Cricetulus griseus: one gene and its partners. The protein of the gene in region 3 interacts with the protein of the main gene of each other region in a biochemical or structural test. Links are inferred from orthologs where the notes say so. Each region holds a gene or a part of one and is shown on either strand. Other genes may lie near its edges.

Region 1 (5,862 bases), about 11 Mb from region 3:
GTGATTTGGTCAGAACAGGGCTTAGAGGCCTCTGATGCCCTCTTCTGACCTCCTTGGGTTCCTGCATGTGCAAGGTGTATGTGTGTATGTATGTATGTACGTATGTGTACATACACACACACACACACACACACACACACACACACACACACCTTACCTGAGCTTATTGGGGTGGCGCACACTTTTGATCCCAGCACTCAGGAGAAAGAGGCTGGTGGATCTCTGTGAGTTCTAGGCCAGCCTGGTCTACATATCAAGCTGAGACCATCTTCTATAAACAACAAAAGCAAAGACAACCACAAAATATGTAAGACATGAATGAGCACACTTTTGGGCAAGTCTGTGGAGATGTTTTGGGGGGAGGGGTGTTGTTTGGTTTTTTGAGATAGGACCCAAAGGTTGAGAACCAGCGACATACAGAGATCCTATTTAATTTGTATGCATATAAGATTTTTTAAATTAGAGAAAGATGAACAGATACTTTAGCATATGAAATATAGTTAAGACCATTGATATTTGGAGATGTACATTTTGTTTTTCGAAACAGGGTTTTTCTGTGTAACAGCCTTGGCTGTCCTAGAACCAGGCTGGCCATGAACTCACAAAGATCAGCCTCCTTCTGCCTCCTGAGTGCTGAGATTAAAGGCTACCACACCGGGCCAGAGATGTACTACTAAGATTGCAATGCCATACCTTTCACACCACTCAGATGGGTAACACTAAAGACTTACATCATTGGATGTGCACTGTGCACGCTATGGAGTAACAATCATAGAAGTACTATTTACTGGTTTTTTTAGAAATGTAAAATAGACCTGGCTGTGGTGGCACCCACCTTTTTAATGCCAACAACTCGGGAGTCTGAGGTGGGCAACTCTGTGAATCTGAGGCCAGCATGGTCGAGGACAGTCAGAGATACACAGAGAAACACTGTCTCAACAATAACAACAACAAAACAAAAACAACAAACAAACAGCCGGGCGTTGGTAGCACATGCCTTTAATCCCAGCACTCGGGAGGCAGAGGCAGGCGGATCTCTGTGAATTCGAGGCCAGCCTGGTCTCCAGAGTGCCAGGATAGGCTCCAAAGCTACACAGAGAAACCCTGTCTCAAACAAACAAACAAACAAACAAAAGAACAACAAACAAAAAGAAACCTGTCTTAAAAAAAAGAAAAAGAATGTAAAATAGAAGAGCCATTTTGAAAGGGGTTTTTATTTTCAACTTTTTCTTTGCTTTTATTTTGTGTATATGCATGTTTTGTGTGTGCAGCGTCTATGGAGGCAAGAAGAGGGCATTAGATCCCCTAAAACTGGAGTTACATCTATTTGTGAGCAGCCATATGGATGCTGGGAATCGAACTTAGGTCCTCAGCCAGTACCCTTAAGCACAGAACCATCTCTCCAGATCCTTTTTTGGGGGTGGGGGGTGGGGGTGCTTTTCTGTGAAGCTTCAGCAGGCCTCCACTCCCAAGCTTTACAGTCCTCTTGCCACATTCTCTTTGCTGCTGGGCTACAAACTGTCAAGCCCAAGCCCAGGTCTTGACAGTCTTCTATAAGTTAAACATACACTTATATGATCCAGTAATTCCACTCTAGTTATTTACCGAAGAGAAATGACTGGTACATAAATGTTTATGGGAGCTTTATTTCCCGAGGACGAAAACTAAAACAACTCAAATGTTTATCAGTGGAAATGTAGAAGAAAACAAAGAAGGAAGAGAGGGAGGGAGGGAGGGAATGAAAGAAGGAAGGGAAGACAGACTGATGACCTTTAGGATCTGAAAAAAAAAAAATGTTGTTTTAGACTGGAACTTACAAGTCAGCATGTTCTGGGCTGCTACCGTACCTCAATGTCTGGCTAATCTCTACTGAGCAATAAACGTTTAGTGAAAGAAGAATGAGACTTTTCATACTGCAACGAACTTGTAGTCACCATCCTTCTGGCTTTTTAATCTCTTCTTACCTCCCATCAACAAATGCTATCTGTACAGGGCTCAGCAAGGGGACACCAGCAGGTCCTCTCTCGCCACCGAGGCCAGTTCCGCCCAGATTCCAGGCAGCGCTGGAGACCAGACAACCCAAGGCCCGCGCGCGCGCAGTAGAGGAACGTGAGCAGGGTGGATCACACACTCGGGGATGCTGGACTTCCCAGCTCGGCACCCCCGAGGGCATCCAGCGGGAGAGGACGGCCCTGGGGAGGGGGCGGCCCCGGGAGTGGGCGGCCCCGGGAGTGGGCGGGCCGGGCTGGGCCGGGCCGGGGCGTCTATATCGCTGCGCCCGTAGAAGGCGGCGGGGGCGGGACGCGGCTGATGCGCCACCCGCGGAGGTGAGGCCCTGAGCCCCGGTCCCGCCCCGACCCTCTGGGGTGTGGGCTCCTCTCTGAGTTCTGCTCCCGGTGCTTGCGAACCCGCGCGGGTGCGGGCGCCCGCAGCCAGGGTGAGGGGCCGGGGACGTGGCGCGGCTGAGATCGGCGACGGGGTCCAGCTGGAGCTGCTCCGGCCTTCTGACTCAACCGCACACTCAGATTTCGGGATTTCTCTGCTGGGCGGGGAACGCGTCGTAACTTCCTCATTCCCGCCGGGACCCTCGCTTCCAGCCCGTCTGGCCTGACTTTGAGCCCAGCTGTCACCGGGATTCCTCCCTTGGACTTACCTCGCCCCAGTTCGAGGCTATCCCAGCTTGGCTAGGTGCTTCTTGGACCCTGAATACGGAATGAGAGGCAGGGCTGGGGGTTGCAGAGATGGGAGGCTAGAGGGGCGTCGGTCTGCAACTGTAGAAGTTGGGAGTCAGCTGAATGAGATGGGTGAGGGCCGGGGGCGTTAGGATAGGGAAGGGTGTTTCTGTATGGGCGAGTCCCTTCCTGAGGCTTCCTCATATTCCTAGGATGACTGCAACCCAGGAGAACCTCTTTCCCTATGGGGACTACCTGGACTCCAGCCAGTTGCACATGGAGCCAGATGAAGTTGACACTCTGAGGGAAGGAGAGGATCCAGGTACACAAGGAGATGGCCCCCACAGAGGGGAGGATAGGGATCTGGGTCTCCTGAGATCTACACCCTTGGGCTTTTTTTTTTCCCTCCCAGCTGATCGAATGCACCCCTTTCTGGCCATCTACGACCTTCAGCCCCTGAAAGTGCACCCCTTGGTGTTTGCCCCTGGTGTCCCGGTTACAGCCCAGGTGGTGGGCACTGAAAGATACACCAGTGGATCCAAGGTGGTTGGGCTGGTACCATGGAGGGTGGGAGAGGGAGGCCTGGCCAAAGTGGAGGGTTGGGTTGGGCCGGAAGACTCTGAAGACATGATTTTCAGATTTTTATACCCCCAGGTGGGAACCTGTACTCTATATTCTGTCCGCCTGACTCATGGTGACTTTACCTGGACAACCAAGAAGAAATTCCGACACTTTCAGGAGCTGCATCGGGACCTCCAGAGACACAAAGTCTTGATGAGTCTGCTCCCTTTGGCTCGGTGAGTGGGACTAGAGTGCTTCCTGTAAAAGGCAGACAGATAGTCCTCACCCCATGGCAGTCTTTACTCCTGTCTGCCTATCTCACCCCCAACCTACTGTAACCTTTTCTTCACAGCCATTTTCCTTCCCCCAGCTCTGTGCTGGACCCTGGTTCCCAAGAAACTTCCTCTGGTTCTCTTTGTCCATGGTACTATGCCAACATTTCAGCCAGGCTGGATGCCCAAAATGTCCTTGGCAACACCCCACCCCACTTGTCTCCACTCCCAGGATAGAGACCCTTTCTTCTGCCAGCCTTTCTCCCACTCCAAGGCCCTGTCTCCAGTGTTTCAGGCATCTAGCTTGCCAGCTCTTCCCTGAGCCTTCTCTTACCTCCTGTATAGCTTTGCTGTGGCCAGTTCTCCAGCCCGAGAGGCAGCCAATGAGGACATTCCCTCCCTACCCCGAGGAGGTTCTGAGGGCTCCACCAGACACACAGCCAGCAAGCAGGTATGACCTAACACCAGGTCCTGTAGCAAGGTGTTGTAGTATGCACAAGGCTCTGGCTACATCTGTTTCTTTCCCACCCCCATTCAGAAATACCTGGAAAATTACCTCAACCGCCTCCTGACTATGTCTTTCTATCGAAATTACCATGCCATGGTAAGGTCCAGTGTCTAGATGCCTGGGTGTATCTCTCTCTCTCTCTCTCTCTCTCTCTCTCTCTCTCTCTCTCTCTCTCTCTCTGTCCCTGTCTCTCTCTCTCTCCAGGGTCTTACTGTGTAACCCTGACTGGCCTGGAACTAACTACTGTAGACCAGGCTGGATTTGAATGGACAGAGATCTATCTGCCTCTGCCTCCCCAAGTGCTGGGAGTAAAAGCCTGTGCCATCATGTCCTAGGATGCCTGGGGTTTTTTAATTAGATGACGACAAAGGGGCAGAATAAGTAAGGCTAAGGGGCTAAAAAGCCAAGTCTCCTCCTGAGCTTATTTCTTCCTCTGCAGACAGAATTTCTAGAAGTCAGTCAACTTTCCTTTATCCCAGACCTCGGCTCCAAAGGACTGTGAGTGTGGGAATCCCCCGCCTAGCCTTCTGCAGACATCAGTCCCCATCTACCTGCTTGAAAAACATGTAGTATGAGTGCGTAGAGTCCCCAACTCTCCCGATTGTCCCTGTAGGGAAGGGGTGATCAGGAAGCGCTCAGGCGGGCATCGAGTTCCTGGCTTCACCTGCTGTGGCCGAGACCAAGTTTGTTATCGATGGTCCAAGAGGTGAGGGCTGGAATTGAGCAGGGGTCTGTGGGCAGGTGAAGAGGGAACTCTGGAGGACCTTGACAGTATACACAGCCCTTCCCCTCCAGATGGCTGGTGGTGAAGGACTCCTTCCTGTTGTACATGCGCCTGGAGACTGGCACCATCTCATTTGTTCAGCTTTTCGACCCTGGCTTTGAGGTGCAGGTGGGGAAAAGGAGCACAGAGGCTCGGTATGGGGTGAGGATCGACACCTCCCACAGGTAAGGCCTCCCTGGTGTGAGAGCCTTCTGTGACCTGAGGGGAGTTGAGCTGGAGACACCATGGGGGAGAGGAAAGCTTCTCAGTCCTCCATGTCCTGGTCCAGCCAGAGCTTTGAATCAGGGAACTAGTCTATCCATATATTTAGGATACTCCTAGAGTAAGGGCCTATAGTGCAGGGGTTTGGAGGCTAGAGAGAGAAGAGTGGATAGTGGTCTTGCAGAGGCCCCGAGTTCCGTTCCTTGCACCCACATTGGGTGGCTTATGCCCACCCATAACTGGAGCTTATGCCCACTGGTAACTCCAGCTCTAGTGAGGCTGATACCCTCTTCTGAATTCGGTGGGCATCTTCACTCACACCTGCACACACACATGCACACATGCACACTAAAGACATAAAAAAGAAAAGGAGCCGGGCATGGTAGTGCTTACCTGTAATCCTAGCCTTTGGGAGGCTGAGCCAGGAGGACTGGCTCTGTAGAACCGGAGCTCTATAGTGAAACTCTGCCTTAAAAAGAAGAGTGAGAGAGAAGAGGAAGGAAGGGAGGGAGAAAAGGGAAGGAAATTAAACTCCATTTGTTCATTCAACAATAACAATAACATTGTTGAATGAGGACCTGATACAGTACTGTTCACTGGGAACCCAACTACGAATAAAGCAGATATCTGCACTGTCTGTGGATTCCAGCTTAGGGGCTAATGGGGGAATTAAGAGAAGGTAATAGCCAAAAGGGGGGCTCTCTGGACAAGACTGTAGGCTGAAGGAGAGGGATTAGTGGTAGACCTTCTCCTTTCCATCCAGGTCCCTGATTCTCAAATGTGGCAGCTATCGGCAGGCACGGTGGTGGGGCCAGGAGATCATGGAGCTGGCGCAGGGGCCAGGCAGAGATTTTCTACAGCTAC
Region 2 (5,726 bases), on a different chromosome or scaffold from region 3:
CCATCACACCCAGCTTGTGGGTTTTCCACATGACCCATAAAGTTTGTGGTGAAGGTCTGTCCACAGAGACAAGCAATAAGATCATTACTACAGTCGTTAACTATTAAAAACTTGCACCCCTAGGGGGCAAACTTCCCACACTTAACACCTTTACTATTGCAAACCCACTTTCAAGTGTTTGTCCCAAAGGATGAATCAAAACCTCCAATGCTTTTACCTTGTGTCCAGGTGCAGCTGAAGCACACTCATGTCAATCATGTCTGTGCGGTTCCCCATCTCCGTAAGACAGGGACTTATCTGGAATCCAAGCAACTAATTACTGTTCTCTACCAAGTCCACAAAAACAGAGATGCAAGCCTGCTGTTAGAGTAAACAGGGACCTTTCAATTCTCACTTCCTCTGTGCAAATGACAACAGGCACTTCCTGCAAACCAACTCTTTTTTTCTTCCTCATTTATTTATTTTCATGGATGATCTTGCCAGTTGGCATTGTGGTACATATGGAGAGATCAGAGGACAACCTGTGGAAGTTAGTTCCCTCCTATCACTGTGTGGGCCATGGGGATCACACTTGATCACCAGCTTGGTGGCAAAAGCCTTTACCTGGCTGAGTCATTCTCAGTGGCCCCCAAAAGAACGCCTGCCATTTTCTAACACTTTAAAAGCAGGGAGAGGGGGAGAGAGAGTAAGAGGGATTAATGATTGCAGTGGAGGAAGGAGTGTGCCAAAGTGCTACAGGGCATGTTAAAACTAGACAGCTAAGGCAACTCAACCAACCAAGTCTGGTGACAGATAACTTCATAGCAAAACAAATAAAACAAACAGGCAAGCAGGCCATGGCAGAGTTTGGCTCCAACCCTCCTCTTCCTAGTACATTCCTAGGCAGCAATATGAGAATAGTTTGTCTTCCATGGGTCCTCTGCCAAGGTTGATTTTAATGTGAGCCTGGACCTAGGGCAGTCAGCTAGCTTGGGATGGAGGGAGCCAGTTGATGATGTAGGAACCACTATACTCCATTGCTTCTACCTTTGTGGTCATCAGCCCACCTTTTTGTAATCAGAAGCATGATTAAGGAGTCGCCCTACTGAAATGCCCCCCCACACACACACACACACATAGTAGTAATATAACAATTACTCATCCAGGTGATATACAGAAACCAGATCCATGCTTCGTGGTTTCAAGAGACTTCTGACCCCAAATGCTATCTATCATATGGCTAATTCACCACCACTTTCAGTATCTACCTCCAGAAACTTCTCCACAAGGCCCTAGTAGGCATGGGAGAAACAAGACACCCCTGAACTTTCAGGATGGGCTTCAGGACTGGCCCCTCATTCCCTAACATCCTTTATCCGGCTTGCTTTCCCTGGTGACATGTGGAGGGAGAGGGGCCTGGATGTCTATCACCAGCTCTCGAGGGCTATGAGCTGACTCTACCCAAAGCTCCATAGGTGGGACCACCCAGATCAGCCATCACTGCACTCAGACGGTGAAACCAACAGCAGCGTGTTGCGCTGAAGGAGGCAAGATCAACTCAAAATGAATGTGAGCTCCTCATAGCTGGCCAGGAGCTGCACCTGCATAGCACAGTCCAGGACCAAGGCTGCTATGCCACCCCACCCGCCACCGGACCCCCATCTGGGCAAAGGCGCACTCTAGACCCCATCCTACAGATGGAGAGGGCTGAGCCAGCAAGTGGGGCAGCAAATGGCCAGGTAATCTTACCCTAGTCAAGCTCACTAAGACCAGGTGACAGGCCCAGAACTGCTAAAGCACATAAAGCCTGGGGTGACAGCTATTCAGGACCACCCAGGCTGCTGCAGTGAGTGGCAGGAAAGTTCACATCCTCACGACCACTGGCAGGCCAGACACCAGGGAAGGCAGGTGTTCTCTAGGGGCCCTAGGCTGCTGGAGCGCAGGCCCAGCCCCCCACTGCTCTCAGGCCTGTCCAAGGGCATCTCCACCATCCCCCGGGCTGCCCACCTCTGCGCGGAGACCCCTCGATGCTCTCGGCGCTAGACGAGTGCGTGTCTGCCGGAGCTCGCCGCAGACTGAAGTAACCGCGGGAGCGCAGGGCGCCGCTGCGGGGTGAGGGCCCACCGTCCCTGCGCGCGAAAATTCCGCTGAAGAAGCGCAGCAGCCGGTGCTCCGAGGCTGCCCCGGGGCCGGCTGCCGCGGCCCGCGCGCGCTCTAGCCGCTGCAGGTCGCTGTTGTCCAGCGTGCGGTTCTTGCTCTTGCTGCGCTCCCAGCGCTCCAGGTCCGAAAGCGCATCATTCTTGCTGAGCACCTCGCCTACATCCAAGGTGTTGCGCTTCTCCGCCACGGGCTGCGCTCCGGTCACCAGCTCCGGGTCGACCTCTGCCTCGACCTCGTCGTCGGGCGCCCATGCCAGGCTCCCGGAGCTGCTGTGGCGCCTCCCGCCGCTCAGCGCAGGGCTCCGCGGCGCCTCGGGCTCGCTCCAGTGCCTGAAGCTGAGACTCCGCCGCAGGGGCGCGGCCCGAGCCTCCTCCCCATCAGGGCTGCTGGGCCCCTCGGCCGAGGGGCTGCCCATCAGGTCCGTGGGCTCTGTGTCGCGTGTGCACGGCCGCAGCCGCCCGAGCTCCAGCTGCCCGGTGCTGCGTGTGCGGAAGGCGCGGAAGTCCCAGGCGCGCGGCCCGGCCTCAGGATCCTCAGCCGCCGCCTCCTCGGCCTCCTCTTCCAGCCGCCCGGGCGCGTCCGGGGAGCGCGCGGGCCGGAGCCGCCGAGTGGGGAGCGGAGCTGGAGCGACCAGCTGCTCCTTCCTGACCATGGTCACCGAGATGCGGTAGACAGTCTTCCTGGGGGGCGTCCCGCGCGGCATCGCGTCCGCGGGCGGCGACGCGGGCTCGCCGCTGCCGTCCAGCAGGTACATGTCCCCAGGGGCCGCGGCCGCCGCGCCGCCCTCCGAGGCTCGACTGCATCCAGCGCCGCCGGCCGTCGGGATGCGCGCCGCAGGCGCAGAGCCGGCCAGGTGCACAACCCGGGCCGGCAGGGAGCGGCGCCCACGCCCCCCGCGCGCAGCGAGGCCCGCGCTTAGGCTGCGGGAACAGCGCCCCTGGAGTCCGCCTGCCCGCGCGCCACGCGGCCCGAGTGCCGGGGTCCGCGCCTGGAGAACCGAGCCATGGGGGACCAGGGGGGCGCTCAGGCGCGGAACCCGCCTCGCCGGCAGGTGCGGCCTGGGCGCGCAGGACCCGCTGCGGGCGGCGGCGCCCGCGGCTTCATTGTCTAGGGCGCGGGGCCCAAGCGCATCCCACGGCCTTTTCCTGCACAGCTCGGCGGTCCCGCAGCCTCGCCTCGATCCCCGCGGGTAGCTGCGCCGAGCGCGGTCGGTCGAGGGGCGGGCGGTCGGGCGGGCAGCGGTTTAAAATGGAAATGCGCGCCGGGGCGGGGCGGGGCGGGCGGAGGCCGACGTGCGGAGACTGCGGGCCGCGCGCCCAGCGGGGCCTGCGAGTCCCGGGAGCGCGGAGGCGGCGGCGAGCGCGGCGTAGGGAAGGCCCAAGAGCTGGGCTGGATTATCGCCGCGCGGAGCGGATCAACCGGGCGCAGTAAACCTATACCATTCTCCAGGACCTGCTACAGGGTCATCTGAGGCCTCTGCTATCCGTGTAGCTTATAAGATGAAACTCAAATGACTTGCTGAAAAAGCACTCCCGAGGCTGAGGCAGAAGGATCGTAACTCTGAGGCTAGTAATTCCAATCCACCCAACAACAAGGATCTCAACAATAACAACTATTTCTTTGGAACCTGTAACCTCTAATGGTTAATTCCTAGAAAGCAAAAGGAGCTGGATGGCTCAGCAGTTAAGAGCACTGACTGCTCCTAGAAGATGGTATTAGTGTCCCACAAGCCACACAGGGAGTCACAACCATCTGTAACTCCAGATCCAGAGGAGCTGATGCCCTCTTGTGACCTCCAAGGGGGCCTGGTGTACTTGATACACCTAAATTCAATCAGATACACATAAATAAAAAATAATTTTAAAAGAAGACAACAAAAAGTAGTTGCTCCCTGAGGCACTGGGGCAGCATTTCTCTAAGATAATTTATAGGGTATTTTCCAAAATATAAATCTGCTACCTGAGCAGCAGGCAACTTGCCAGGCTCCTCTCCTTCCTAACCATCTGGGTTCTCCAATTTTAAAATGGAAATAACAGTTCTCTAGCTTACATTAGCACTTTGGGGGGCAACTGGAACTGGCCCTGGAACATAGTTAAAACACTATGAGCCAGGCATGCACACCATGAGTATCTAAAGTTGCATTTCCCTTCATCCTTCATGCCCCCTTCTTACTGGCCCTGGCCCTCACCTCCCACAAATGCTCATCTGTGACTACACCCCCATGTAATACAGGATTTATATACAACCATCAAGCCAGTTCTTCAGACCATCTTGAACACAGATGCACTGTTAGTCATCTTGTTTACAGGATCCAGGAGGAAAATGCAATATACCCACCCTCCTTCCTCCTCCCCTTCTCCAGATGCAGATGGAGGGTCTTCTCTTGGCCTGAAAAGGCCACAGTTTCCTGGAGGGTACATCTAGACAAGGTGCAGGCAGCTGTGAAGGTCAGGCATTTCTAAGGTCTCTCCAGCTAGTCACTCTGTAATCTCACCACAAAATTTCGGGGGTATCTGTTCATGTCAGTGAAAGTGGTATAAAAATGGATGGGTCAGGCCTCCTGAAAGAGACTGCAGTGTAAGAAACCAAGATTTTAAAGAAAAAAAAATATTAGAAAAGTTTCTATGTGATTCATTTACTTGTTGCCAGCATGTGGTGCGTGCGTGCGTGCGTGCGTGTCTGTGTATCTATATGAAGGCCAGGGGTTGATGTCATTATCTTTCCTCAATCGACTCTTCATTTTATACATTAAGGCAAGGTCTCTCACTTGAACCCAGAACTTGATTTGGTTAGTCTAGCCAGCCAGCTTGTTCCAGGGATCCCCCAATCTCTGTTTCCCAAGGGCTGGGATTAAAGGTAGGCTGCTACATCCACCTGACATTTAAGTGGGTACAGGGGTCCAAAGTCCTGTCCTGGTATTTGTGTGGCAACCACTTCTCCCACTGAGCCACCTCTCCAACCTCCACCAAAAAAAAAAAAAAAAAATGTTTGAAAACATAGCTAACCACCAGTGGCTTCTACCTCAATCACATCAGCTACAGGCCAGGTATAACTTCTGTTTGAAACCCTTGGTTCCTGCATTGGTTCTTCAGACACAGCATGCATACTAAAATGTCTAGATTCATCCCCATCCCATTAGGAGGATGCAGAGGCTCAGAGAGGGTGGGGACATGCCCCAAGACTACACAGCTCCTGGGTGAGTGGAACTTTGAGTCAGACACTCGGTGCCCATACCTGCACTAATGTCCTTTGTGTCAGCAGCTTTAGGAGCAATGAAGTACAAACAAAATGTGAACATTACTGGCCTAGCCTCCATCAAAAAATTAAGCAAAACCTTGATATTACCAGGAAGTATTAGCATATTTTCTTTGTTTTCCTATTGGTTCATCAAACTGTGTGTGTGTGTGTGTGTGTGTGTGTGTGTGTGTGTGTGTGTGTGTATTACATACAAAAATCAAGGTGGGGTCTCTTGCCTCAAAGAATCCACAAACTTATAAAAGTTATGTTTGTAATTTTAGGACTCAGTGTCAGAGATGACAATAGTAACCAGCACACTGTCCAGCTAATAAATTAGTACCACCAGGACC
Region 3 (4,739 bases):
AACCTACCAGGCCATGATTTGGAATGTCCAGCTCATGTATTGTCCAGCTTGTGGTGTTGTTACAGTAGCACAGAGGGACAGTATACAGGGAAGCCTTGTCACCCTGTTTTATACCATGCTTGTTCATTTTCCTGTGAGGTTAACAGCCTTGGATAGTGCACAGACACATCTCTTTCTGAAGGCTCCATGGCCTTCTATTTGCTGTTACTATTAGGAACTAACAGCATTTAAGAATGCAGTAGAGTCCATTTGGATGAAAAACAAGTGGCCACCTGAGGTTGAGACCAGAACCCTGGAAGCCTTAGTATCCTTTCCAGAAGCCCTAAACATCTGATAGGCTCTGGTAAATTGGTGCCAACTTAGTTGATTGGCACCTCTAGTGTTTCTGTTCTGCCAGTGGACCCTACTGAGTGTGTGTACATGCCCTTACAGGAACACGTCTTCACATTTGCCTGTCCTCATAGGAGCATCCTTTTGTATAGGTCTTCAAGGGAATGTGCTGCTGTGGTTTACTGTTTGGGTCTCTACCTTCTTGGGCTGTTTGAGATGGATAGAACATTGCCTTAACAACTGTCTCCCATGGCCTAGATGACAGAAATGCCTGGAGATGTGACACCACATTCTTTCTGGGCTTGTCCTACTGTCACCAGGGGGTGATGGAGTATTTGGCCTGTAGTATTGAGCCTAGAGTGTGACCAGCTTTCTAGTTGCAATCTGTGCTACTTTGAAGTAGAGAGAGATGTAAGGTGGTTCTTTCTGATCTTGTGAAGACCTCTGTTAGTCTGTAAGAGGGCCTCATGTGTCTCTCAAAGTACTTTTTAGAGAGTAAACATGCCAGTTTCCCAAGTGTGAGTGTACACGGATGTAGTTAGATGTTCTGATAGGTGAATAGACTTGGGATACAAGGGGCTTTTCTGGTATCTGTGCCTTCCTAGACTAGTATGTGGCCCTTAGATGCTTAGGGAGTCTGGTGGACAGGGTTCTTTTTTTGCCACTTGGAACCTGGGATTGAATTGAGATCTCATGAGGGATGAGAGAAGGCTTGGGGCAGGGGGCTCCTAGGTAGGTGTGTCTCTGACCTGCCACAGGGCCTAAACTAGCAGCACATAACAGGACTGGAACAACTTGCTTCCCCAGGTCTCTGGCCAGTATCGCTTCCACCTGTCCACAAGCATGGGGAATATCTTTGCAAACCTCTTCAAGGGCCTTTTTGGCAAAAAAGAAATGCGCATTCTCATGGTGGGCCTGGATGCTGCAGGGAAGACAACAATTCTATACAAACTGAAGCTGGGTGAAATTGTGACCACGATTCCCACCATTGGTGAGAGGCTGGGCCAGGGCCAGGGTGGGGGTTGGATTTGGGGTTCTGGAGTACAGAGGGCACTCAACTGTAACCCTGCCCCCAGGTTTCAACGTGGAGACAGTTGAGTACAAGAATATCAGCTTCACCGTGTGGGATGTGGGTGGCCAGGACAAGATCCGGCCGCTGTGGCGCCATTACTTCCAGAACACCCAAGGTGAGGGGTCGATTCTTGTCGTGGATTCCTCCTTTGTCTTAAAGGGATGCATTTCTCACTGAGCCTCGTGACTTTTCCAGTTGTATTGTGGCCAGTGGGAAGACTGAATCTAGAGCCTATGGGTAGACCAGATGGGCAATCTTCAACATGTGCAGTAATGTTTTCCTGTTGCAGGCTTGATTTTCGTAGTGGACAGCAATGACAGAGAGCGTGTGAATGAGGCCCGTGAGGAGCTCATGAGGATGCTAGCTGAAGATGAGCTCCGGGATGCAGTTCTCTTGGTGTTTGCCAACAAGCAGGTAGGCACCAGCAAGGTCCTTCCCTGATGGAGAAACCTGTGTCAGGGGAGAGAGAGAGGGTGGGTGAGAGAATGCCCTGGGTGACTAGCTGCTGCTGGTCCCTGCCACTAATTCCTCCTTTCCCCCAGGACCTCCCCAATGCCATGAATGCGGCCGAAATCACAGACAAGCTGGGGCTGCACTCTCTACGCCACAGGAACTGGTACATTCAGGCTACCTGTGCCACCAGTGGGGATGGGCTCTATGAAGGACTAGACTGGCTGTCCAATCAGCTCCGGAACCAGAAGTGAACCAGACCCCTCCCTCCCCCTTACTTCCTCCTCTCCGCCCTCCGCTTTCCTCTCATGTGGCAAACGTGCGACTCTGTGGTCCTGAGTGCCAGAAGCTGTCTCCATGGGTTGGTCACAGTGTGCATCGCACCGTGCTGTACATGTGCAGACGCAGCCTGCAGCCAGGTTTTTATTTAATGTAAATAGTTTCTGTTTCCACTGAGGCAGTTTCTGGTACTCCTATGCAATATTACTTAGCTTTTTTATTGTAAAAAGAGAATCAACTCACTGTCAGTACTGAGAAGGGATTTGGGTGTAGGGGCACCTGGCCTCCGGGAGCCATTGGGCTGTAAACTGGTGTCAGTATCCATTTGGTGGTTGGTTTTTAACCCAAACTCAGTGCATTTTTTAAAATAGTTAAAAAATACAGGACAAGAACACTTGAACACACAGAAAGGAGACTATGCCTAGTGTAGGTTTTGCAGTAATGGCCTGAATGCTAGTCCATCGGATCACCTGTTCCCCTATGGGAACAGGAGAGAAGGTGACAAACCACCATCCGCTGCATGGTCACAGTAGAGCCCCCGTGACTCGCCTGTCTTTGGGTCACCTGCATTCCATAGCATTGTGCTTGTACTTGTGCTCACATGGTCACCTAGGGGTTGGCTGGGGGCCATTGTGGGGTGCAGGGCCTGGCTTGTATTTGGTGTGTGGCCGGGCCAGATGGCAGCCTACATACCCAGCTTACTCTTGGGCCCACTTGGACGCGCTGGCAGGAGGCCTGGGTCTCACCAGCAGGAGCGCGTGCAAGCTGGGAGGGTCAGTCCATTCCAGACCCACATCCTGGAGCACCCCCATCTCCATGTGTGAAGTAGCTTTCTCCCTCAGCCTGCAAGGGTCCGATTTGCCATCGAAAGACGACCTCTACTTTTTTCTTTTGTATTTTGATAAACACTGAAGAAGCTGGAGCTGTTAAATTTATCTTGGGGAAATCTCAGAACTGGTTTATTTGGTGTCGTGGAACCTCTTACTGCTTTCAATACACAATTAGTAATCAACTGTTTTGTATACTTGTTTTCAGTTTTCATTTCGACAAGCACTGTAATTATAGCTATTAGAATAAAGTCTCTTAACTATTTGATGGGCTTGTGTATCAGTGTCACCACTGCGAGGCTGCCTCCTAAGAGAGCCCTTTTTAAATTTGAGAGAAAACAGGTGCCCTCTACGCCCTGGTAGAAGTAAGATCTGGGTGGCTCCCCTCAACATCTCAGAGTTACTACCAGCCTCAGTGTGCTTTGTGACAACTGAGGTGTGCCTCCTGTCCCTTCAGTAGGCAGCCAGCTTTGGGGTGGTACATATCTCTGAGTAGGTGTGGCCACTAGGAGATCCAAAGTCTACCGTCCTGAGTGGGTCCCTGCCTAAGTGGATAGACCTTCACCCCCTTGAGGTGGTATTTTAGATAACTAATCTTCACTCATGTTTAGGTGGCTACCTGCAGAGCACAGGCCAACAAACAAGCTACAACTTGAGTCTCAGGACACTTTAGGGTCTGCCCAAGAGTACACACACCCAACAAATAAGCTTTACAATCAGAACACTTTGCTGTGTGGAATCCACCCTAATTTCTACTGTCTGCCCATGTATGTATATAGACTCTAAAATTGCTATTATATGGCTGTGGAACCCACTGCCTCTGCTTAGGTAGAACTAGATTGGACCTCTTGGGCAGGTTGCAGATGCATTCGTACAGAAGTTTGTTCTAACTCTTTGGCCTTGGGGTAGTCTCAAGGACAGGATTCTGGTCCCTAGACCCAGTGCCCTCAGGTATACTCGATGGACGCCCCATGCTAGGACCACAGGCTCCCAGCCTAATGTGCCCTCAGTGAGATGATACACTCTACTTTTAAAATACATTTACTTATGTACAAAGTGGGTTGATACAAAAAGTAGAAGTAACCAGATACACACACACACACACACACACACACACATACACACACACACACCTAAATCTCAAGGGCCTGAACTGTGGCAGCAGAAACAGGAATCTGGCCTTAGTCTCCTAGGCAACTGTATCTTCCTTGGAATGGGGGCAAGGCAAGTTACTACCCTCACACAGTCACCAGGCTGTGGTCACCCAGGACCCCACTCCTCAGCAACATGGGGTGGTTGCCACATCAGTTGCCTCCAAATGGCAAGATAGACTCCAAGGTCCAACAAGCTTGGTTCAGAATCCTACCAGAGAGCAGCCACCTGCCTTATCCCAGATAGGGATGGGATGGTTAGTCTGGGCAAGTAGGGAAGGGGCTGGTAGCCAATTGGCATCCAGTGACTACTCTTTATAGACCCCACAAAGCTTGGTGGTGGGCAAGGTCCCAGCTCAGGGCAACCAAGGCTCTGGTGTCCTTTGGTTTAGCCACATTCTCAGTCATCAGAGCCTCTGTCTTGTCGTCTTCGGGGTGGACTCCTTCCATTGTCCTGGCTATGTCCCCGCTTCCTCTTACAGCAGGGGGAGAAGTCAGAATCATGTCTCTGGTGTCTGGGCCTAGGAAGACAAGGATAACCAGATACTTGAAGGGTCTCTCACGCTGCCAAGCATCCCAGTAGGCTTGGCCAGCTCTGCCCCCCACTTCCTTAGTGCCCCCAAGGTAGAG
Region 4 (5,903 bases), on a different chromosome or scaffold from region 3:
GGAGAAATTGGTCTGGCATAGGTTTCAGGGCTGGGAAAACACTCTACTTTCTTAAGTCTCTGTCAGAATCGGACAAATCATTATCCAAACCTTGCCCATTGTGATGCACACCTTGAATCCCAGCACCCAGGAAGGAGGGAGAGGCAGGTGGATCTCTGTGAATTCGGGTCCAGCCTGGTCTACTGAGTTCCAGGCCAATCAGGGCTACACGGTGAAATGCTGTCTGAACCCCAACCCCCCAAACAAACAGAATCAAAATCTCTTGCCCCAGCTGCTATTTCAGTAGGCATGTAATTTGATCAGACCAGTAGGTTCTGGCCATGGATTCTGGTGGATCTATAGTGGAAAAGTCTTTTTTCTACCCCGAGTTGGCTAAACTGGACTGGGGTTGCCAGGTGCTTTTTTGCTGTCATGTAGGAAGATCCACTGAATACACCAAGAGAAAGCCTGAAGGAGGCCCCATCTGAACTTGTTTATTAGAGACAGTCATTTCCTGACTGTTGCATCTCTGTTGGAATGGTATGTTCCTCACAACTGAGAAAGTCCTGGCAGGTACATTTCTGTCCCATTCTCACCGCAGGGCCTGCACCAGATTAAGGTCGGTGAACTCATGCAAATCCACAAAAGCATGGAGCACAGATAGGTTTAGCTCTTCCCTGGAGGAGGGAAGAGAGAGAGTCCCATCAGGAGGAGTGACAGGAGCCATAGCAGTATCATCTCATTTACTATGCCACCCTCCTGCAGATGAACCTTGTTCTTGTAGCTTGTCAGATCTTTGAGTACACAGACCACCTGATGTCATCTTGCAACTGCTCTCACGCTTCCCAGATGCCTTTATCTCAGAACTGACCTTTGTCTAAGAATTCATAGCTAGTTCCCAGTTGCTATGCAATCACATGTCCACAGGTCTCCAAACACTTGCAGCTCTGACCCATGATAAAAACTTCCAGACAATACTTTCCATATGCTAGCTTGTATATGCGTGGTTAAGCCAGTGACACTCAGACTTCAACAGTGTCCTTGTTTACTGGATGACTACAGGTCCATCTCCCTCTAGTTTCAAGCTCCCTCAGAGCCAGTCAGTCCACTATATCATGACCCAGGTGGAGGCCACAAACCTGCTCTACCCATGAACTCCTATTGAGGCTGGGAGTACTACTGTACAGGCTGGGCAGCTCACCTTTCCCCGAGGTAATCCCCAATGGCTGTCTTGTTCAGCCCCTCACCCTTGTACAGGAAGCGGGCAATTTCCTCAGGTGTGTTCTGCAGAAGTTCGTGTTCTACCAAGAATTGGATCCCCTGGATGGAGGATGCCAGATTTATGCCAAGGCAGAGGCTGCTGCTCCCCATCCAAGCCTCTCCACCCTAACAGAGCATGGTCATCCCTAGCCCATCCTCTCAACCTCTGCCTAACTGATTCCGGCATGTATAGCTGGAACAGGTTTGAAGAATAATTGAATACATGATACACTGTATAAAAAAAGAAGCAGATACCTACCCATCAAGCTGTAAACACAGCACCCCTCCCTTACTGCCATATCTCACCTTGAACTGTAGCACTTACACCTAGGGGGATCCCTCAGAGTAAGGCAGGGTCTTAGCATTCCCAGCATTGCCCAGCACAGGACCGGGCTCCCAGAGGCCTCAGTACATGAACATTCATGGAACAGATGGACAGGGATCAGGAGTCTTGCCTAGAGGAAACCTATTATCTTAACACTTCTAGAACCTAGGATATCAAAACCATGCCTGAATATATCTGCTCAGCTAACTAACCTTCTTGGGGTCCATGTTGAACTTCTTCCTGCCCATTGCCATCTTCCGGTTCCGCTGCAAGGTCTTACTGCAAAAGCAGGATGGGCAGCAGCCAAAGGTCAACACTTGAGCATCCAGGGCCCTGGCCAAGCCCTGTGTCCCACGAGCTCGCCACAGTCCTCACCTGCCCTCATTGGCCTCCAGACCCTCCACCTCACTCATAGCTTCACTCAGCTCCTCTCGCAGGCGCTGGATCTCCACCAGCAGCTCCTGCTTACGCCGTCGGATGTTCTCTAGCTCCATGCGCTCCTCCGGAGTCAAGTCTGGGGGCTCTAGGAGTCAGGGTCAGGAAATGAGTTCTGGGGGGGCCAAGATTAAGGCTAAGAGCCTGGATTCCTGTCCAGAAGAGAAATGGCTACTACAACTCTTAGGGAAGAGGGAGTAAGACTCTGAACCCTTAGTCTGGGGCAGAAGTGCCTGGGAATCTCATCTCTTAATAGGTCTGGGGATGAACTTCTGGGCCCATTACTTGGAAAGATGGAGCCCTGCCTTCATCATGAAAGTGTGGACCTAAATCTTGGGTGTATTACTTGGAAAGGAACCAGTCCCTGGGCTCCTGGACCCATCACCACAATGAGGAACTCTTGGGATGTTACTTTAGATGTTTTACTTGGATGCCCTGGTTCCTTGGTTCCATCACAGTAGAACGGGAGGCTTGGATATTGAAAACATTACTTGGAAGGACACAGGGCCTTGGGCTCATGGCTCCATCATCGCAAGGGATCTGGGGCCCCAGATCCTGGGTGTATTTCTTGGAAGGTAACAGGTCCCTCCATCATGGCTGATGACCTGGGATCCTGGACCTTGGGTGCATTTCTTGGAAAAACACCAATACTCTGGTTCCTGGGTCCACCACGGTGGGGACCCTGGCATGGAGCTTGGATACATTTCTTGTAAGGAGGCCTGATCCCTGGCTCCACAATAGTGGGAGAGTTGGGGTCCTGAATCCTGGGTGCCTTTCTTGGAAAGGAACCGAGGTTCTGGCTCCTGGATCTGTGGTCTGAATCTTGGGTGCTCAGTGAAGACAAGCCATGGCATCACGACCGGGGTCAGGATCGGTAGGGAGGTCACAGAACCAAGGTTCGCAGCAAGAAAGGCAGCGGCTCGCGCGGGTGTACGTCCCGCCCCGCCCCGCCCCGCTCTTGTCGCTCCGCCCCGCCCCCCCGCCCCGCCCCGCCCGCCGCCGCCGGAAGAGGGCTCGGCCCAAACAATGGCCGGGACCCCCGGCTCTCGGTCGCGCCGGAAGCCCGTTCCGCGCGCACAAGAGCGCCTCGCTACCACCGCTCGGCTGTCCTTGGCGGGGCTTGGGAGCCACTCCGCCCTCCCGCCTCGCCTGGCCTACCGTAGACACCGTCCTCCATGGCGGCTAGAAAAGCCCGCGGGGAGTCCGGGGCGGTTCCGCCGGCTGGGCCTGAGTCCGCGTCGGCCCGCGGGCTCGAGTGAGCCCGCTCAAACGCCCCAGGAGCCACCGCCGCCTCCTCAGCGCCAGTCCTCAGCGCCGAAAAGACTCTCCCTTCACGGCCCAACCGCCCGGCCGCTGGGGCCCGCCCCTCGCTTTGACACCACCCAATCGGCTGCGGGTCTCCCAGACTGCTCCGCCCCCGAAACCACAGGATCATTTCCAGGACCAATAGACACACAAGAAGCGGTTGCAGGCACGTACAGCTAGCGATAGACTGTTAGAGTGACCAATCGAAGTGCGTCCAGGGGCTTGGTCCCGCCCCCGAAACAAAGGAAAATCCCTGGCAGCTTTATCCTCCAATAAGAAAACTCAAAAAGGAGGGAGCAGGAGGTGGGGATTCGTGGAGCAGGGAGGATTGCGCCTGCGCACGAGCCAGACTAAGACGGCCTAACCTTTTCAGAAATTCGTTGTTAGGGGGTGGTATTTGATTAGTCTTGTTGTCAAGGGCGGAGTCTCAACCTTGAGGTGTTTCCTGGGACCACACCTCCTGGCCCTCCACGCTAGCTTTTGACCGCGGCGGTTGCCAAGCAACTGGGAGCCGCACAGTCCTGTCTTTGCCTTCTTCCTCAGGGTACTTCTGTCTCAGGCAGTGGCTGTCTCTGAACTCTTTCCGTACCACCTCACGTGACTTTCCTCCACACCTCAGTCTCCTCAGTCAAAGGATGGTAAAATAAAGGCATTATCCCTTCCAAATGTATTGGGGACCACAAATACCCTGGATCTACCCTCCTGGTGCTTTCTCTCTTTCAGGCTCTTCCTCTCTCCTAAACGCTCGTCTTAGCTTCCTCCTCCTAAAATCCCGCCTTCCCCAGATATTTGCCCAAGACATCCTCTTCCCTCAGAATCTTTTTTTTTTTTTTTTTTTTTTTTTTTTTTTTTTTTTTTTTGGTTTTTCGAGACAGGGCTTCTCTTGGCTTTGGAGCCTGTCACAGGCACTCGCTCTTGTAGACCAGGCTGGTCTCGAACTCACAGAGATCTGTCTGCCTCTGCCTCCAGAATGTGCACTGACTCTCTTGGCAGCACTCCAGGTCTCTGTGGTTAGGTCCTCCTTCCACCCAGCTTTTCAGTCCTCAAAGTCCTGCCCTTCTTAATCGCCTCCCCCTCCCAGAATCCTTTCTGTTTTGCAGGAAAAGCAGTGAGGGTCCTGTCTGTGATGGGGACTCTGGCATATTTGTAAATCATAGGCCCATAATGGGGCTGATGTGACTTCCAGGTCTTGTCCTCATTTGTGTCCCTGGGCTGCACAGGTCGGGAGGATTCAGAGCCAGGACTTGGTTAAGTCTTTGGATTAGTCATGGAGCCTCCTAATCCCCTCTCTGACCTTTATGAGTGGCCTGACCCATGCCCTCCCTTGCTGGAGACCTGGTTGTGCCAATCCTATCCCACCCTCTACTTCCCAATAGAACCACATGCCCCTGCCTCTTTACATCAGCTTAGCAATTTTCTCCACTATGGTCTCCATCATCCCTAGTCCTTCCCTGCCCTAGACCCAGGGGTGGGAGAGCTGCCAGCTAATTAATCCTGTCCGGTTATTACCTGGGGATTCTGAAGGATAAAGCAAGATGAGAGCCAGAGAGGGCATGGGTGGGTGGATTCACTCAGGCAAGCCAGTGCCAATGCTGGCTCTCTGTTGGGAACAAGGGAGAGGGCACTCCCTCCTCCTGGCAGCTCCCCTCCTGCTGGCCACCAGCCTGCTGGGCACTTAGGTGGCTGTACTATGGGTGAAGACCAAGAACAAGGACCAACATTCCAGAAACACAGGCACCCTGCTGGAGCTCCTGAGCCTTTACTACAATGATAGGGCTCCCCTGAGAATTCCACTTTTCTCACAGTGAACATGACCCTGGAGATAACAGCTGCCCCTTCCATCCCCAGCCCCTGACCTGGAGCACTGACTCTTGGTGATAGCTCCTGCTTCCTCTTGCTGGTCCTATAATCTACATACAATATGGAACCAGCCATCAAGTCAGTATCCCCTTCCAACTACCCCTGGAATGCTGTGTGTTTCAGTATGAGGGTGGGGACAGGAAATGTTAGGACCTGCACTGTATCCTAGCCTCCATCAGGTGAAGGGCCATCCTGTTTGGGAGGACCCTTGGAGAACTTCATGCTCTAGTGGCCCTTGTTCCAGGAACTGAAGCAACACAAGGAAAGGTTTGCCTAAAGTCCTGAAGTTACTTGGAGTTGCTGGGATTTAAAGTAAGTCTTCTAAGATCTCTGCAAGGGGCTCCAATTGGCTTGACTCTGTTCACATCTTATTACAGGAACCAACAGAAAAGACAGAGATCTGTATTTATATCATATATAGTACACATATGTATAATATTTTTGAGAAACAGACACACATCACTAGGTATAGTATTCCAGAATATTTTAGGCTCACCAGCCTCAGCCTCTCCCTTCCCTTGCCCCCTAGTTAGCCCTGTGACCCTCTAGGCTCTTGCTTGCAAGCTCCGCCCAGAAGAGTGCTTCCTAGAACTACCAGGATGTCCACCTGAAGGTGACCAGGACATCGAGGCTTTGGGAAAGGACAGCTCTGGGCCCCTGGTGCTTTGATTCCTTTTGGCATTACAGAACCACAGGAAGTCACCAAAGGTCACAAGAGATTTTTAAGCACTGCTGGGCA

The links. The genes of interacting proteins can lie anywhere in the genome.
Region 1: the proteins of Arf1 (region 3) and Pld2 form a complex in vitro, tested with the Homo sapiens proteins (2 studies listed by BioGRID). The link is inferred for Cricetulus griseus from reciprocal best matches to the Homo sapiens genes ARF1 and PLD2.
Region 2: of the proteins of Arf1 (region 3) and Agap1, one has a biochemical effect on the other in vitro, tested with the Homo sapiens proteins (2 studies listed by BioGRID, with this or other methods). The link is inferred for Cricetulus griseus from reciprocal best matches to the Homo sapiens genes ARF1 and AGAP1.
Region 4: the proteins of Arf1 (region 3) and Cyth2 are reported together in a solved structure, tested with the Homo sapiens proteins (3 studies listed by BioGRID and IntAct, with this or other methods). The link is inferred for Cricetulus griseus from reciprocal best matches to the Homo sapiens genes ARF1 and CYTH2.

What each region holds. Positions count from the first base shown.
Region 1 is NC_048600.1:84,349,879-84,355,740, forward strand, and holds the start of Pld2 (phospholipase D2), read left to right. Parts: upstream 1-2,495; 5' UTR 2,496-2,688; intron 2,689-2,884; 5' UTR 2,885-2,885; coding exon 2,886-2,994; intron 2,995-3,084; coding exon 3,085-3,215; intron 3,216-3,228; exon of another isoform or gene 3,229-3,326; coding exon 3,327-3,469; exon of another isoform or gene 3,470-3,491; intron 3,492-3,737; exon of another isoform or gene 3,738-3,850; coding exon 3,851-3,956; intron 3,957-4,043; coding exon 4,044-4,109; intron 4,110-4,452; coding exon 4,453-4,511; intron 4,512-4,564; exon of another isoform or gene 4,565-4,626; coding exon 4,627-4,719; exon of another isoform or gene 4,720-4,744; intron 4,745-4,808; coding exon 4,809-4,961; intron 4,962-5,391; exon of another isoform or gene 5,392-5,467; intron 5,468-5,761; coding exon 5,762-5,862.
Region 2 is NC_048595.1:441,110,044-441,115,769, reverse strand, and holds the start of Agap1 (arf-GAP with GTPase, ANK repeat and PH domain-containing protein 1), read right to left. Parts: upstream 3,368-5,726; 5' UTR 2,894-3,367; coding exon 1,987-2,893; intron 1-1,986. UniProt on the Homo sapiens protein: GTPase-activating protein for ARF1 and, to a lesser extent, ARF5. Directly and specifically regulates the adapter protein 3 (AP-3)-dependent trafficking of proteins in the endosomal-lysosomal system.
Region 3 is NC_048600.1:73,271,552-73,276,290, reverse strand, and holds the end of Arf1 (ADP-ribosylation factor 1), read left to right. Parts: intron 1-1,137; 5' UTR 1,138-1,173; coding exon 1,174-1,321; intron 1,322-1,406; coding exon 1,407-1,517; intron 1,518-1,691; coding exon 1,692-1,816; intron 1,817-1,944; coding exon 1,945-2,106; 3' UTR 2,107-3,226; downstream 3,227-4,739. Other genes in the region: CUNH1orf35 (multiple myeloma tumor-associated protein 2), read right to left, coding at 4,510-4,630. UniProt on the Homo sapiens protein: Small GTPase involved in protein trafficking between different compartments. Modulates vesicle budding and uncoating within the Golgi complex. In its GTP-bound form, triggers the recruitment of coatomer proteins to the Golgi membrane.
Region 4 is NC_048599.1:154,707,563-154,713,465, forward strand, and holds the start of Cyth2 (cytohesin-2), read right to left. Parts: upstream 3,368-5,903; 5' UTR 3,177-3,367; coding exon 3,158-3,176; intron 2,939-3,157; exon of another isoform or gene 2,088-2,938; coding exon 1,940-2,087; intron 1,844-1,939; coding exon 1,777-1,843; intron 1,300-1,776; coding exon 1,181-1,299; intron 657-1,180; coding exon 576-656; intron 1-575. UniProt on the Homo sapiens protein: Acts as a guanine-nucleotide exchange factor (GEF). Promotes guanine-nucleotide exchange on ARF1, ARF3 and ARF6. Activates ARF factors through replacement of GDP with GTP.